Arabidopsis thaliana: one gene and its partners. The protein of the gene in region 3 binds, or shares a complex with, the protein of the main gene of each other region. Each region holds a gene or a part of one and is shown on either strand. Other genes may lie near its edges. The genes, in order: LSM3A, LSM1A, emb1644 and LSM3B.

Region 1 (3,813 bases), on a different chromosome or scaffold from region 3:
GCAACCACAAAGATCTCTCACATCAAAGTCTCGAGATCATTCCAATCAAAGCAAGCTTACAAAAGCAGAAAATGAGACTTCATTTAGCAAAGCTATATACCAATCAAGAGAAGTGAAGCCAATTCCGTTATAATTCAACACCCAATTCCCTTTGTTTCAACTCCAATCCCATCCGATCATTCTCAAGTTTCATCCTTTCATTCTCCATTCTCATTCTCTCGAGTTCTTGATCCCTTTTCTTGCTAAACCTCTGCCACCTGAATCTCTGTTTCTCCAATTCCAGCAATTCAACTTGGATCTGAAGCTTCTGCTCTTCTAGCTGGAGAGTCCGCGACTCCATCCACTGCTTCTGCACCGAACCTGCTCTTCCACTCTCCGCCCCACCTTGATTCACATCAGCTTGAGAAAACGGTATTTGAGGTAAAGAGACTTTATTACACTCCAGAGAATTCACATGACTCGGATGATCTCCATCTTCATGGCTAAGGCTTGGTCTTATCTTCTTCAAAGGACCACCACCACCTCCATAATGATTTACCCTACAATCTCCATACGCATAATGTTGCTCCTCATACTCATCATGTTCATCACCATCACCATCATGATCCTCATCATCAAGATCCTCCATTTGATGTTTCCTAGAATCATCATTATCATGATCATCTCTGCTTCTAAGCGCCAACTGTAACGAACGCTGCAAAGCAAGGTCATGAGGCAAATGCAACCTATTCCCATTATGATACGAACACATCTCTTCATAAAAAAGATGTTTAGAACTCATAATCTTCCTAACATCATCCTTCTCTTTATCATTCAAGTAACCAATCGAATCCAAAAGCGCAGGATTCTCAACAACTTGACAAGATGTTCCTCTACCAAGCATATCATTAAGCTTCTTATACCGTTTATTCAAATCATTGAACTTATCCTCACATTGCTGCGGCGAAACATGATAACCTCTCTCAGCCATAACTTTAGAAACAGATTTCCACTTCCCTTTCTTCTGCAAAACAGCAAACTTTCTTCTACTACTACTATCTATACTCGAATCATCTCCTATATAAGAAACAGCAGTAATCAACAACTTCACCATCTTATCAGTCCATTTCACTCGTTGCCATGGAGATCCTTTAGTTGATCTATTAGCTTCATTATGAACACCATCACCACCTTCCTCTGTGAAACTTGGTTCATCATCATCACTCACTGAATTCTTCTCTCTTTCAGCTTTCTGTTGCTCAGACATAGACATGTTCTGATTCTGATGATGATCACAGGTTTGACCTGTAACCATAGTAAAGGGAAGACCTTCATGAAGTGGTCTAGAATTAGGATTGTGTCGATGCTGCTGATTCATGGAGTCTTGGTGATGAACTCTCATAGAACCTTGTAAATCAAATCCTCCATAAGATGAAGCTCCACTACGAACTACACCTCCTTGTGGAAAATTCCCATCCATTTTTGGATCAAATTTCTTCCTAATTCATCAGAGAAATCGAAGAGAAAACAGATCTCAAAAAGTCAAAACCTTTGTCAACAAAATTAGTACTGGATCTTAGGGGAATATTAAAGATCGAAACTTTAGGAGAGAATGAAGCAGAGAGGAATCGGGATGAAGAAAATAAAGCGGTAAATATATGAGAGATGAGTCAAAGGAAGTAAAACTCACAGAAAAAAGTTTGCTTTCGTCTTCTCCGGTCAGCTTCCTCAGGTTTCTCTTCTCTCTCTGTATATGACAAAAGGCTTTTTGATTAAAACAACCAATATAAAGATTATAGTAAATTTAGTGTAATGAAATGACCAATTGATACCTTGTGATTGGACTTAATATAGTTAAGTTCCACTAACCATGATTTATTTGCATTAGATGATTTATTATCTTCATAATACTTCGACGAAAAAAAAAAAAAGAGCTAACCATATTGGGCCGATATGAGAGCCCAAAAACATAGTAAAAGGCCGAATCGTAAGATGTTGGTTTGAAGTTTTTAGGGAACCAACGGTGGCGATTGCTTGAGCTCAGTCAGAGAGATATCGCCGAGAGCACTACAATTTCAAAACCCTCGGAGAAGTTATAATCAGAAAATGTCAGTCGAGGAAGACGCCACCGTTAGAGAGCCACTCGATCTGATTCGGTTGAGTATCGAAGAGAGGATCTATGTCAAGCTCCGATCTGACCGTGAACTCCGCGGCAAGCTTCACGTACGTTCTTAACCACTCGGATTCCAGAAACCAGTAACCAGATGTGATCTTTTTCGATTTTGAGCTCCTTTTTGAATTCCTTATTCGTTGAATTTAACACTAGTTTTTATTCTTTTCACAAATATCAAAATTTGGACCCATTTTGTTGAGTTTCAGTTTCGAAAGCCTCAGCGAGAGCTAATTGGCGTAGAAAACCTCATAATCTTGTTAAATTCTAAGACTCTCACTTTTGTTGTTGTTTTTGTGGTGTAGGCTTTTGATCAGCATTTGAATATGATTCTGGGTGATGTTGAAGAGGTTATTACGACTATAGAAATCGACGACGAGACATATGAAGAGATTGTTCGGGTATGTAATTCTCTTAGCTCAATAAGATTTATTAATCTATGTAGGCTTTAGTAGTAAGATAAACGTTTTTGGGTTCAAAATATTTCAGCTATCACAGTATCTATTGTCTATGTCTCTGTTTGAGTTTAAAGGAGAGCTTGATTCATGTAGAAGTTAATAGTGCTGGTTACATAGAGAGTGTTCATTACCAATATAGTAACTCTGTTTAGTTTCTCAAACTTGAATTTTGTTGTTTGCGCTCCAAATGTGATGTGCTAACTTCTCATTAGACTAGTGTAGAATCATATGTTCTTCTCCTGCTGATGTAACTTGCTTCTGTCAGACAACGAAGCGAACGGTACCGTTTCTATTCGTGAGAGGAGATGGAGTGATATTGGTGTCACCGCCTTTGAGGACGACCTAAATGTTCTTGTGTACTGGGATCGGAGTTAACAAATCTGGCGCTGAGTAAAAGCACTTTTTTCTGATTACTTGGCTTTTGAATTTGTAATTGTGTGGTATGTTTTTCTTTGTTGTCAAACATTGAAACCGAATGTAGCATTCGAATCTTGGTAATGGGTGCCTCGTTATAGTAGAATCAGTGTAACATACTTCGTATTGTGACTTTCTTACCGTTTACGATCGGATTTAGTTTCGTTTTCTGGTTTGGTGTAGTTTTCTCTAAAGATTTGTATACTTCCTCAAACTCATTGATTTCGAGCTCTATTATGAATAGTGATTGGTGACATATTTAGATGTGTGTAACCCTAGGAAAGACATTTTGATTAACCAAACCATCAAATTGATTCACAGTACAGGAGGCTGAAAACGCAAACAAGATTGATTTCATGAGAAAAGATTAATGTAATTGTAAGCATGTAAATTTACAGTAAAAAAAAGATTAGTGATGAAATTAAAAGTTTTGAGGTATCTATCGTAAGATATAACTTGTCATGATCACCAACACGCTTCGAGCATAGTAACAATGGAGAAGAGAAGTCTTATCTTCGTCTGGGTCTGGCTTGAACCGGAGAACCCATTGGTTGTGACTCTCTATAGTTTCTGCTTGGAGAATCAGTTGATGTTCTGGAGTAGGCAGCTTTGGCTACTGGTGGCACTGGATCCAACGGAATGGTCTCAATGAAACATGCACTGTTCAAACGGGTCTTCTCTAGCTCCAGTTGAAGCATTCCGCTTGTACATTGCTGTGCAAGAGCCTAAAGCAGCAACAGTAACAAAGCAAACCCGCTTTTAACTGAATGTGCTAGCGGTTTTAAGTATTGA
Region 2 (3,649 bases), on a different chromosome or scaffold from region 3:
AGAACATTGACAGAAAAAGAAAATTTCTTGGATAAACACACACATACATGTGCTTTTATATATGCATGTCTCTGAAATATGAAGGTTGGTTTTCATATATGTCTAAATCAAATTAATAGTGTTGATCTTTCTTTGATCGTGCAAAAATCTTGATCTTGTTGTTCTACACAGATTTTTAGTTGGGTTCAAAGAAAGCTTAGCGGAAAGAAGCGTGTGCCTACTTCAGATTCTTGTGAGTAAATATTCTTATTATTCATAGACTACATGAACAGTCTTCGCATAAATCATTTGAGCATATTTTCATATTTTTGTTTCATATGTTTGATGATGTATATATAGCTCAAGAACCATCAAGTCCTCCTTTGAGTAAAGAAGTCCAAGGTTTGCCTCAAGACGAAGAAACCTTCTTAGCCATCGGAACACTTGGAAACAATATCTTCCCCAAGCAAGAAGAAGAAGAAGAAGAAACAGATTCTAGCAAAGATATAACTCCGGTTAATACAGATGTTACTATCGGGAAGAAGAAATCGCTTTCTTTTCTTCTCAAGAAGATGTTTGTTTGCACAAGTGGCTTCAAAACTCCACCTCCTCTTCTTGATTTATCTAGAGGAGATTCATTGCACAACACACGAATGGAAAAGGTAAGCATATATGATCAAATTATTCAATCTTTAAACAAAATATTATTTTTATTATGAAAAGAAGTGAATTCAATAATAGTTATGTACACTAGAAACATTTTTTCCATATGTTATTTTGTGTGTAGATGCTAAGGACAATACTCAACAAGAAGATACATCCACAACGTTCAAATTCTATAGCAAAGAAGTACTTGGAAAGTAATCATAAGATTATGGATGAAGCTCGTTCAAGTGTTGACGCCAACAAATGGGTCAAGACTGATTCTGAATGTGAGATTTTCTAAAATTATATATATTTGGTTTTTCAGGTCGCAAAAAAAAAAAGTTTTATTTTAAACATACAGATGGTGTAATTAACCAAGTGAATATCATGACTGGCTTTATTGCAGTATTTAGTTAGGTCAAAAGCATATAATAAACATCATAAGGACTGAATTAAAATGCAGAAAGATGAAAAGTAAGAATTTAAAAATAGATAAATAAACAAATAGAAAAATGTAAACAAGAATAATGGATAGGGTAAATTAATTTAAATTTCTTTGATGGTTACAGATATTGTCTTGGAGATGTAGATATCAACCAATAAGCTAAATGGACCTGATTGATAGTCATGGTAATAATAGAATGTAAATAAAAACCAAAGTTTTTTCTTATTAAAAATTGATTTTCTATGTAAAATATAAAAAGTAGCAAACAAACATGATCACTGATTCAAGACAAATAATCAAAAATATGTTTTTCAGGTCTCAATTGAGTGATGGTGTAAGTTCAACTGTTCAAGATATGAAGAATAACATTGGAGAAGGGTCATAAAAATATCTCTGATAATCAGTGTTTACAGATGTATATTTACTTGTCAAACTCCATTTTTCATCATAGATTTGTTTTTATTTTTTCAGATTTTAATGTGGTGAAGAAAATCTGTTTGCTCATGTAAACTACAAAATATTCATCTTATCAAATAATTTTATTTGTATTTATGCAGTTTGAAATAAGTGATGAATAATGAAGAATGACTGAGATTTCTTGTTAAATAATAAAATGAAATGAAGGAAAACCCAAATGCAAAATAAAATGGGTTGATTATGCAATAGTTACGAAGTTTTGGGGTTTTAATGTATTTTTCCTAAAATTGAAAAAAAAACTCAGTCTGACCAAACTTTGACAGAACAGAATCGTGCGAGCCGTCAGACTTAACGAAAACGATCCATAGATCTCAAGTCTCTCTCTCTTAGTGAATAAATTAGGGTTCGTTGATTCTCTGTTCTTAAGCTCAGTAATCGAGGAGAAGAAGAAAAGGGAAGATCGGGAATTGGGAAACTGAGAAGTCAAAAAGGCAAATGCGAGTGGAGGAGATTGAGTTTTAGAATTCCAATGTCTTGGGCTGCTCCTGATGATATCTTCTTCTCCACTTCTCTTGCTGCTTACCTAGACAGTAATCTCTCTCACTCTCTTTCTCATTACTGATTCACCGGCGATGAATTCTGTAAAAAAATAAGATTTTGATCCCCAATGGTTGTTGAAGATGTTATCTTCTTCTACATGATTCAATAGTCTCTTAATGTTTTGATTTCTTGTTGCAGAGAAACTTCTTGTGTTGCTTCGTGATGGTAGGAAACTGATGGGTCTACTTCGGTCCTTTGATCAATTTGGTACTTGTCTTTCTCTTTTGCACCGAAAATCCAAAGTCTTTGAAATGGTTTTAAGAAATGTTTCGTTTGTTTTTGGTTTTCTTGAAGCTAATGCTGTTTTAGAAGAAGCTTATGAAAGAGTCATTGTGGGTGATCTCTACTGTGATATTCCCTTAGGTCTATACATTATCCGTGGAGAAAATGTTGTCTTGATTGGTGAATTGGTAAAGCTTTTACTAAACAAACCAATTCCTCTTGCATTTTGAAATGAAAGTTTCCACTTTTAAGAACGATTTCGGTGTTTGAATCGGGTTTCTGTGATCTTAGGACGTGGAAAAAGAAGAGCTTCCAGCTCATATGGTTCAGGTTCCAGAAGCAGAGATAAAAAGGGTTAGTGCAAATATCCTTCTCTCCCTTGTTGATTGCTTTAGCTCTGATTTGTGAGCTTCTTGCACAAATGTACTACAGCTGATTTGCTTTTATTTGGTTTAGTGTTTTGGATTCTACTGACTCCTCAATTACTCTCTTCCGTATACTCAGGCTCAGAAAGCAGAGAAGGAAGAAATGCTTTTAAAGGGCACAATGCGGAAAAGAATGGAGTTCCTTGATCTCGATTAGGGCATTTTCCTATGTGTTGCAGCATTGTAGAAACTAGAAGATCTCAAGATGGAGGATACAGAAGATCCTTAAACGTCATAATGTTAGTTGATGTGTGTATGTGTGGATGACATTGATGAATCCTCAGAACTTAGTCGTTGCAGATCCTCTGCTCTGTTTATGGAATGAAATTGTTGAGCCTGTTCTTTACTGGCCATTTATTTGATCAATCACAATTCAGTAAAAACAAAGATACAAAGATGAAAAGTGAACTCAAAGTACAGTTACAACCTTTGTATGATTCATATGAAAAGTTGAAGTAACAAAGCAAACATAGTATCCTTCTCTTAGTAGTTACCAAAAACCATTGAGCCAATAAGGCGTCTCCTCTAGGTAGGCCCTTTCACTCCGGGTAAGATAGCATTGTGATGAGTGACTCGTGTTGCGGAAACCTTGATAAGAGATCAGAGCGTTTCGCGAGCTCAAAGTCCTCGAACTGGAAAGCAGGAGCGCAGGTGCAGCCAACAAGAGAGAAATGGTTCTCAGAGTCTCTAGCCTCAGCTTTAAGCAGAGCCCCGTCTTGAGAAAAATGAACATCCTTTGTAGGAAACGAACCAAACCAGACGTTTGGAGGGACCGTGTACTGAGGCTTCTGATCACCTTCAAACAAGTCAGGACCAAGACATGTGAATTTCAACTTCCCATCATCGTAGAGTTCCACTACCTGATCAAGGCAAGAAGAAGAAGCCATATTCAAGAACATGGATTATATTCTTCTTC
Region 3 (4,488 bases):
TATGGTCGTCATTTTATAGCAGAGGTAAAAAAAGAAGCTATTTTGTGAACTGTTTGATCTTATGGTGTAGTGATCTGATTGATGATGTTAATGAACAGGAAGTGAACTCATATTTCGAGTTCTTGTTTCATCTAATTGAATCTAGGGGACCTAGTGTTGGATTGAATGTTTCATTGAGTAGATATGATTTGTTCCATGGCCATTTATTCCTTGCCTCAGAATCTGGACGCCTTGGAATATTGTAAGTCTCCTTTGTCTCCTCAACACACACTAGGACTCTTGAAATAGTAATGATGATCATGTTCTGTTACTGACTTCGTTGTGTAAGAATCGAGACGCTTTGATAGGCACTAGAATAGTAGATATAAGGGGGTCTAGACCATTTGGTTAATTGGGAGCATTTAGGCTTTGAGAGTGAAGAGAACTCTCTAGGGTTTGTTCTTGTGTTCTTGAATGTAACCAACAGTTATCAATAAAGGAAGAATGGTTTCTGATTCTTAACACAATTGTTGCAGTGTTTTTAGAAAGGTTGAACGTAAGTAATGAGTTTTGGGGAATATTTATAGAAAGTTACATGGTTGAGCTAGGTTTTGAGTACTGTTGTTGACTAGTATCTGATTGGTGATGGTAGGTTTCATGCTAAAGAGTATCCAGCCTATGACAAGAAAGTGTTTCCTTACAACATGGGATATTGCCAGAGAGGTAATATGGGTTCTTGTCCGTGTGACTGTGAGTTTTCTTGCAATCTCTTGAAACATAGAAATGGTCACAGAAATCCCTTAAATCTTCAGTATTATGATTGTATCTCCTTTTTGTTAGGATCTGACGTGAAATACAATGATTCAATGAACTTGAGGAATATCCTTTGGCTTGCACCATTACCTAGCAACTCTTCTCCAGATTGGGTTGCTCCAGGTATAATATCTGTTTTCATCTCTGAGAGTAATAGAAAAGATCTAAACACTTCATAGTTTCAAGATGATCTTGTCTTTCATTAGTATCGTGGAAAACAATTGTAGTGTTACGTTTGACATCTTCCTTTCCTTTGATTGATCTGTAGGTGTACTTGTGGTTCTTGATGCGCATCCGGATGGAATCATATACCGAGATCTCATCCCTGACTATGTTAAGTTTGTAAGAACAATATACGAAGGTTTGAACAACTCTATACCTTCTCTCATCTCACTCATCAATTTGCTTCATTGTAGATCACATTTGATTACACATACATACACTCAAAGTCTCTTAAAGATTTATGCTCTATTGAAACTTTATGTCTTATCCTTCTCCACCAGATGATTTGGGAACAACCGCAGTTGATGTCAATTACTTGAATGTCGGAGCTCACGAACCTGACTATCAGCTTTTCATGTGCTGAAACAAACCAGTTACAGATTCACAATTACACAGTTGTGTGTAATTGAAACTTTGATTAAGATTTAGTTACTGGAGCTGGTCGAGGTTCAATAACGTTCGAGTTGGTTGATAATTTAGAGAGGTCTGAAGTATTGTCGGTTACAAAATAGCTTTAACAATCACATTGCTGAGGCTTTAAGCTTAATTGTAAAAGTTTAGGATTAGATTTGACATATCACTTGGCTTTGTTTGATTCACACAGTTCGCCTTAGTGATGTAAATTAATTAATTTCGAGAGCATCAATAACATATTAATGATTAGTTATTTTCCACCAGGTAACCATTGCCAACGGCTACAAATACACTTTGGTGTAGACAAAGTATACGAAAAATTAAAACAAAAAGCTCCGATGCCGGGAATCGAACCCGGGTCTCCTGGGTGAAAGCCAGATATCCTAACCGCTGGACGACATCGGATTAGTTGGCTAGATTGATATGTTTAACAATATATACTAAAACAGATAATATTATAAAGTTAAGGGACTCGAGTGCAAAACTCAAAAAAGTTCCCATTGACCTAAAACTAAAAGACCACCGATTCATTAGAAATCCATCCCTCTCACTGTCAAAACCCGAGAAGCAGAAAAAAGCAAAAAACAGATTTCGAAGTTTCGACGCCTCTCTATTCTTCGATCTCTTTCATATTTGAATCGTTCACCTTCTTGCCGATCTTCGGAGTATATTACAAGGTTTCTCCCTTTTCTCTCAGATTTTTTTTAGTAGCTGAATTAGGGTTTTTGTTCCGTTTTCGCTATTGCTTCTTCCGCATCTTATAAAGGGTTTAATGTTATACTTCTCTGATGTCATCAGGTTCTTAACGGATCTCTAAATCTTCTGATTTAAGAAGATGGTAAGTTACTAGACAAACTTAGGGTTTTTTTCCTTCTTTCTTGTTTGCGTTAAAGTTTCAATTTTTATTAACTGAAAGCTGTTGTTTTGATTTTATAGCTTCCTCTATCGCTGCTTAAAACTGCTCAAGGGCATCCTATGGTGAGTAAAATTTCGACCCTTGATTACAATTTTGTTATATATGAAGTGAAGCTGAGTTTAAGTGAGCATTGCATTAGGGATCTAAAGGAACTTCCTTTTACTGTAATTTTGAATCTTGTTTTGTTTTGGTAGCTCGTGGAGCTTAAGAATGGAGAGACATACAATGGGCATTTGGTGAATTGTGATACTTGGATGAACATCCATCTGCGTGAAGTCATATGTACATCAAAGGTTATCTTATGTTTTCATATGTTGATACAAATATACTTTGTTTAGACTTCGTGATGAAATTTTGTGTAGCTGACACTCATATATTTTGCTGCTTGATTACTCTAGGACGGAGATAGATTTTGGAGGATGCCGGAATGTTATATCCGTGGTAACACAATCAAGTACCTTCGAGTTCCGGATGAGGTAATTTTTTTTTGTGTGTGTGTGTATATATCTCTTGCTTGATCTAGTTTTTTCTTTGTTCCCCTCTCTCTGGAATGATGATGCTTAGCCAAATCAGATATGTGCTCCAAGAGGCATTTTTCTGTGGAACCTTGTTCAGCAGATGGTGTGCCTCTTGTTGTAGTGCGTCTTAGACGATATCACAGGGAATGGTTATTGCTGACCAGAATGTTGACCCACTTTTATGGACTTTGCTGTGTTGTGTTTCTGATGCGATTTTTCTCTATTGTTTCTACTTTATTTCATTCCCTCTAAAATCAAATTATATTCACATACCATAAACGATATCTTCATCTAGAAGGACAGTCATATGCTGTTTCTATTTATGTTCTTACTGCTGCAACCTAGATTGAGTTAACTGACTTAAATTGATTTCTTCTCTCTTCAGGTGATTGATAAAGTACAGGAGGAGAAGACACGCACAGGTATAGTATTACTCATGTCTATATTGTACCTTTACTGAGATATGCTTCGAGTTTTCTGAGGTGTTAATATTTTGCCAGAGTAGACATTGAGAATACTTCAGGTGTTAATAACGATGGTTGAATATGTGCAGATAGAAAACCACCAGGTGTTGGACGTGGAAGAGGACGTGGTGTGGATGATGGAGGAGCCAGAGGCAGAGGCAGAGGAACTTCAATGGGGAAGATGGGTGGCAACAGAGGTAAAAAATACACAAACAAAGCTTGTCACAAAACTCTGATTTTACTAGAATACTTCAAATATCTGTGTCTTGCCACAATGGGATTTAAGCTAAAACTCTAATATGTTATGAAAAACAGGAGCAGGTCGCGGCCGTGGTTGATGCAACAAGTTTTAAAGACTCGCTGCCAAATCTGCTAACTTCCCATTGTGGAGAAAACCAAAAGTTACATAAGAAGTTGGTCTGTTGTTGGTTTTCTATTAAGTATGTAAGGGATAGGGAGTGTGTTTTTCGATTCTCCTTGTGATCTTTTCGAAAAATGAAATTTGTCTTTTGCCTTTTTGTGGTATATGTGAAATTCCAATTGTTTTCATTTGCGCTTAAAAATGAATCTTTCAGGTCTTGAATTTATATAATTGTTAGAGAATTTATACAATTAACCAACGACAGGGTTTTTATAAGATCTTTGGTCCATCTTACCCTTTTATTATTTTTCTTTTTTTCCTATCTATTCTTTTTTTCCTCTTTCACCGGATTTTCTCCATCACTCGTCGGCATGACATATAAGATTAGATATGATTTAAAAAACGCATGTATTTCAAAGACAAAACATGCTCTTAAGTCTTTACATTGACTTGTAAATTTTTGTCAAGCTATCTAACAAAATCTCATATTTTTTTTTTGGAACAGATTCATATTTTTGTCAAGATTTCATGTTATATAAACAAATTACATGTCTTTTATCCAATATATCATTAGTATTTCATAAAATAACTATGTTTTAATGTAATAATTATACATATCTGTCAATATTTCACGTTATGTAAGGAGTCATATGTATTTCTTCAAATATCATGAAAATTACATATTTTTCTTCACTGTATTTTTACAATTGAATTTTCCTCTTCTCAAATCTATCGGAAGTCTTATTGTAATATTAGAAATTGATAAAGATATTTTCGTCAATATACACCGTCTAACGTGTG
Region 4 (3,665 bases), on a different chromosome or scaffold from region 3:
TGGCAGCGAAGACACAGTTTCAGATGACAAGCAATCTGTTTCAGCAGATGACCTCCTCGTAACACATACATTTCCTTTCTCTTTTCAACAGATTTGATCAAATATCAAAACCTCAATTTTGATCATTTTGTTTTATTTCGTGAACAGGCTCTAACGAAACAGTGTTCAAACGAATTGCTACAACAAGAGTTGGAGAGAACTCGTGTGAACACAGCATGCTTTGCAGAGTCAGCCCCATTAGAGTCAACGCCTCCATTACCCAAAGCTACCTACTCTTCCTTTAGAGGATCAATGGATTCTCCAAGCAGAAACTACAGAGGCTCACAATCATCTGGTTCTCCCATTAATGCCCGACCCAGACGAAGATAATAAGAGACCAACTTTGTTTATTTAATAATTTCTTCTCCGTTTATTTGTACGTAAATGATCATAATTCTCTTGTTCCTGGTGCATTTTTTTGTTTGTTTGTCTGTCTTTTTCAGACTCTTATCTTTATTTGTGAACTCAGATAATTGGGTTGTAATTAGTATATCACACGATCAAAGTATCTGAAAAGCATTGGAAATTTAAGCAAAGTAGCTTCTTCAAGCTTGTTTTAGTTAAGACAAGAAGTGACTAAATACAAGAATAGTCACAAATTCCCCTTACGAAAAGAGGACACAAAAGATTTGAGTTTGAACTCAGGCTGCTGTCCTCAGCGGTGGAGACACCAATATCACTCCATCTCCTCTCACGAATAGAAACTCAATCGTCCGCTTTGTAGTCTGCAATCAGAGATAGTAAACAAAACTAATCACATACATGAGAGACAAAAGCCACTTATCCTAATCAGATCAGAATTGTAGCCCGCCTAGAGGAGTCCCAACAACTAATATGTGTGTGCCTAAGAAGCTTAAAGAAAGAGACTTCTCTACTAGAAACAGTCAGTTACATGGAAATGCCTTCCTAATTTCGATCCAATAGCTTATATCTTCCAGAACAATAAGATTCGTGTAGGATATAATCTCTTGTCTAAGTAAATGTTCTACATTGAGCTGAAACTTCTGTATATAGTGAAAGCTAAAAGACACTTGTACACTTGTTCTCTAACAATATCCTTAACTTGAGATAGAAACTCATCAAGATCCCCCTCAAATACCTATAAAGTTAACTATTGAGTAAGAAAAAGCACGTACCCGAACAATCTCTTCATATGTCTCGTCATCGATTTCTACTGTAGTGATAGTTTCTTCAACATCACCCAGAATCATATTCAAATGCTGATCAAACGCCTGCCCAAAGAATTAACAACAACAACAACATCAAACCTAAGTGAGTAACTCAAGAGTGTAGAAATCTTCCAAAATTTAAGAACTTTGTCAAAATTAAATTTACACAAACCATAAATTCCCAATTGCAAGCTCATCGCCATAACTCGAGAAAACGTTTTTAGAAACTGAAACTTGAAAATCAAAACCCTAGACTTTCCCCCAAAAAAGGACCAAATTCGACACCAAAACAGTGAAATCGGCAAAATAAAGTTACAAAATTCAAACGAACTATGTGTGGAACGAGTATTTTAAGTAGTGACAAGTTCAAGGTACTAAGCAGGGCACAAGAAAACGTACGTGAAGCTTGCCGCGAAGTTCGCGGTCTGACCGGAGCTTGACATAGATTCTCTCGTCGAGACTCAGCCTAATCAGATCTAGTGGCTCCCTCACGGTGGCTTCTTCCTCGCCGGACATCGTGTAGACAGAGATACCTTCCCACCTGAAACACTTCTCGGAGGGTTTTGGTACCGACGAATCGTATAACCGGACACAAACTCTGATCTCGCGGACACGAACTTAACAATTTTGTTCTACGAATAAGATTTTACAAATATATGGCAACAGCCCAACAGAATATTAGGCCCATAAACGAACGTTGGCGAAAAAATGTTTTTTTTTTCAAAACTATCGGCATATTTTATTATTTCAAAGATTATCAATGGGTTCTACTAGCTAGGTTCTACTTCTACCTTGAGAAAATTGAGTTGAGGTCTTGTATGTATAGATATTTCAGTAAACAAATATTAATGTTAGATTTTAATTTTAAAATGTAAATTAAGATATTAAATTTGACGTTTTGTACTTCGATTCGTTTGTTTTCTACTTACAAGCGTTTCACAACTTTTTTCGAGTTGTAACGCTTGACAGTTTCACAAAGTAAGCATACGTGTAAAATAGAATCATTTATTGTGACTAATGTTTTTAACCAAATATGGTATCTTCTAAAACGTGATACCAATCACTTTTTAATCACTATATACAAATTTAAGTTTAATATATTTATATATAAATTTATAACTTTTTTTTATCTGAATTGTAACACTTATTGGTTCCATAAAATAAATATATGTGCGAGAGTATAATAACTTGGACATGATTTGGTGATGAAATTCTACAATATTGTGTTTTTAAAACTCACATTGTATCTACTAAATTTAAATTAATATAAATTTATATGTCCAAACTAAGATAACATAAATTTAAACAATATAGAAGAAGAACGACACTATTGTTAATAATTCGATAAGATACTAAAAAAAAAAAAAATATACACTTTTTAACCTTTTTAATGTGAATTGTAACGCTTCTACAAAATAAGCACACGTGTAAGAGTATAAAAACTTATTGTGGATTTAGTAATGAATCATGAAATGTTGTATTAATGATTCAATAAGGAAGTAAAAAAAAAAAGTTTAAAAAAAAAAACTAATACTTAGATTTCCCTTGACAATCATATCTTTTAATATATAAAAAAACATATAAATTTCAGTTATTTCAAAATTCAAATTCATACTCTACCCATAGTGACTACCAAAATCAATCGTAAATAAATAAATAAAAAAGAAATGGTGGGTCCAAATATCTTCTGATACATTGGACATAAATAACTTTTGTGATTTGTCACTAAAAAAGATTTAGAAACAAGACTCTCTTCTTCTTCTTCCTCTAAATGTTTTGTCCGCCACACGCATTGTCTCAGTGATCAGAGTTCTTCGTCTCTCTACTTGAACTCTCATCTCTAAAACCCTAGACTCTCTCGTCTTCAATCGTTTTAAAAAGGTCCGTTTAGTTTTAGCATGAAATTTTCTCTAAAGATAAGTTTTTTTTTTCGTCTTTTGTTAGCGATGTTTTATAGTTTATCGAATTCGTAGTGTTTGATTGCGATTGCTCTGTTTACAAGCTTACTTTGATCGGATGATTTAGGTTTCATATTTGGAGAAATCCATCTAAGAAAAGTTTGATTTTGAGGAGAAAGACTGAATTTTTATTTTCTCTGATTCAGATTTTTCTTTTGGAAACTGTAGAAATGGAAGGAAATTGCTCGCAAGGACGCTTTGATTCTCAAGTTTCTTCTATGAGAGATCTTCGTCCAAATGCTATAAATCAGAATCAGAAACAACACCATCCAAATTCTCGACAAGACTCAGGCTTTAACAATACTATGGATACACGTCACAACAATGTCGACAGAGGAAAGAAATCAATGAGTGAAGATGATGAACTATGTTTGTTAAGTAGTGATGGTCAAAACAAGTCCAAGGAAAACTCTCCTTGGCAACGTGTGAAATGGATGGATAAGATGGTGAAGCTAATGATAACTGCTCTTTCTTATATCGGTGAAGACTCTGGTTCTGA

The links.
Region 1: emb1644 (region 3) and LSM3A share a complex: the UniProt entries of both Arabidopsis thaliana proteins name them as parts of the heptameric LSM1-LSM7 complex.
Region 2: emb1644 (region 3) and LSM1A share a complex: the UniProt entries of both Arabidopsis thaliana proteins name them as parts of the heptameric LSM1-LSM7 complex.
Region 4: emb1644 (region 3) and LSM3B share a complex: the UniProt entries of both Arabidopsis thaliana proteins name them as parts of the heptameric LSM1-LSM7 complex.

What each region holds. Positions count from the first base shown.
Region 1 is NC_003070.9:7,419,129-7,422,941, reverse strand, and holds LSM3A (Small nuclear ribonucleoprotein family protein), read left to right. Parts: upstream 1-1,984; 5' UTR 1,985-2,085; coding exon 2,086-2,202; intron 2,203-2,454; coding exon 2,455-2,550; intron 2,551-2,872; coding exon 2,873-2,953; 3' UTR 2,954-3,278; downstream 3,279-3,813. Other genes in the region: AT1G21200 (sequence-specific DNA binding transcription factor), read right to left, coding at 128-1,459; SEC5B (Exocyst complex component SEC5), read right to left, coding at 3,531-3,746. UniProt on the Arabidopsis thaliana protein: Component of LSM protein complexes, which are involved in RNA processing. Component of the cytoplasmic LSM1-LSM7 complex which is involved in mRNA degradation by promoting decapping and leading to accurate 5'-3' mRNA decay.
Region 2 is NC_003070.9:6,606,273-6,609,921, forward strand, and holds LSM1A (Small nuclear ribonucleoprotein family protein), read left to right. Parts: upstream 1-1,842; 5' UTR 1,843-2,015; coding exon 2,016-2,076; exon of another isoform or gene 2,077-2,224; coding exon 2,225-2,293; intron 2,294-2,380; coding exon 2,381-2,496; intron 2,497-2,599; coding exon 2,600-2,662; intron 2,663-2,812; coding exon 2,813-2,890; 3' UTR 2,891-3,097; downstream 3,098-3,649. Other genes in the region: AT1G19115 (uncharacterized protein), read left to right, coding at 79-84, 172-232, 340-641, 767-911, 1,194-1,213; AT1G19130 (RmlC-like jelly roll fold protein), read right to left, coding at 3,273-3,593. UniProt on the Arabidopsis thaliana protein: Component of the cytoplasmic LSM1-LSM7 complex which is involved in mRNA degradation by promoting decapping and leading to accurate 5'-3' mRNA decay.
Region 3 is NC_003076.8:9,813,641-9,818,128, forward strand, and holds emb1644 (Small nuclear ribonucleoprotein family protein), read left to right. Parts: upstream 1-1,859; 5' UTR 1,860-2,105; intron 2,106-2,226; 5' UTR 2,227-2,263; coding exon 2,264-2,266; intron 2,267-2,364; coding exon 2,365-2,406; intron 2,407-2,538; coding exon 2,539-2,637; intron 2,638-2,742; coding exon 2,743-2,820; intron 2,821-2,889; exon of another isoform or gene 2,890-3,027; intron 3,028-3,247; coding exon 3,248-3,284; intron 3,285-3,415; coding exon 3,416-3,523; intron 3,524-3,641; coding exon 3,642-3,664; 3' UTR 3,665-3,978; downstream 3,979-4,488. Other genes in the region: AT5G27710 (T-box protein), read left to right, coding at 1-24, 99-241, 632-702, 820-915, 1,061-1,153, 1,296-1,378. UniProt on the Arabidopsis thaliana protein: Component of LSM protein complexes, which are involved in RNA processing. Component of the cytoplasmic LSM1-LSM7 complex which is involved in mRNA degradation by promoting decapping and leading to accurate 5'-3' mRNA decay.
Region 4 is NC_003070.9:28,853,914-28,857,578, forward strand, and holds LSM3B (Small nuclear ribonucleoprotein family protein), read right to left. Parts: upstream 1,838-3,665; 5' UTR 1,725-1,837; coding exon 1,608-1,724; intron 1,272-1,607; coding exon 1,176-1,271; intron 765-1,175; coding exon 681-764; 3' UTR 501-680; downstream 1-500. Other genes in the region: SEC5A (exocyst complex component sec5), read left to right, coding at 1-58, 148-369; AT1G76870 (transcription factor), read left to right, coding at 3,337-3,665. UniProt on the Arabidopsis thaliana protein: Component of LSM protein complexes, which are involved in RNA processing. Component of the cytoplasmic LSM1-LSM7 complex which is involved in mRNA degradation by promoting decapping and leading to accurate 5'-3' mRNA decay.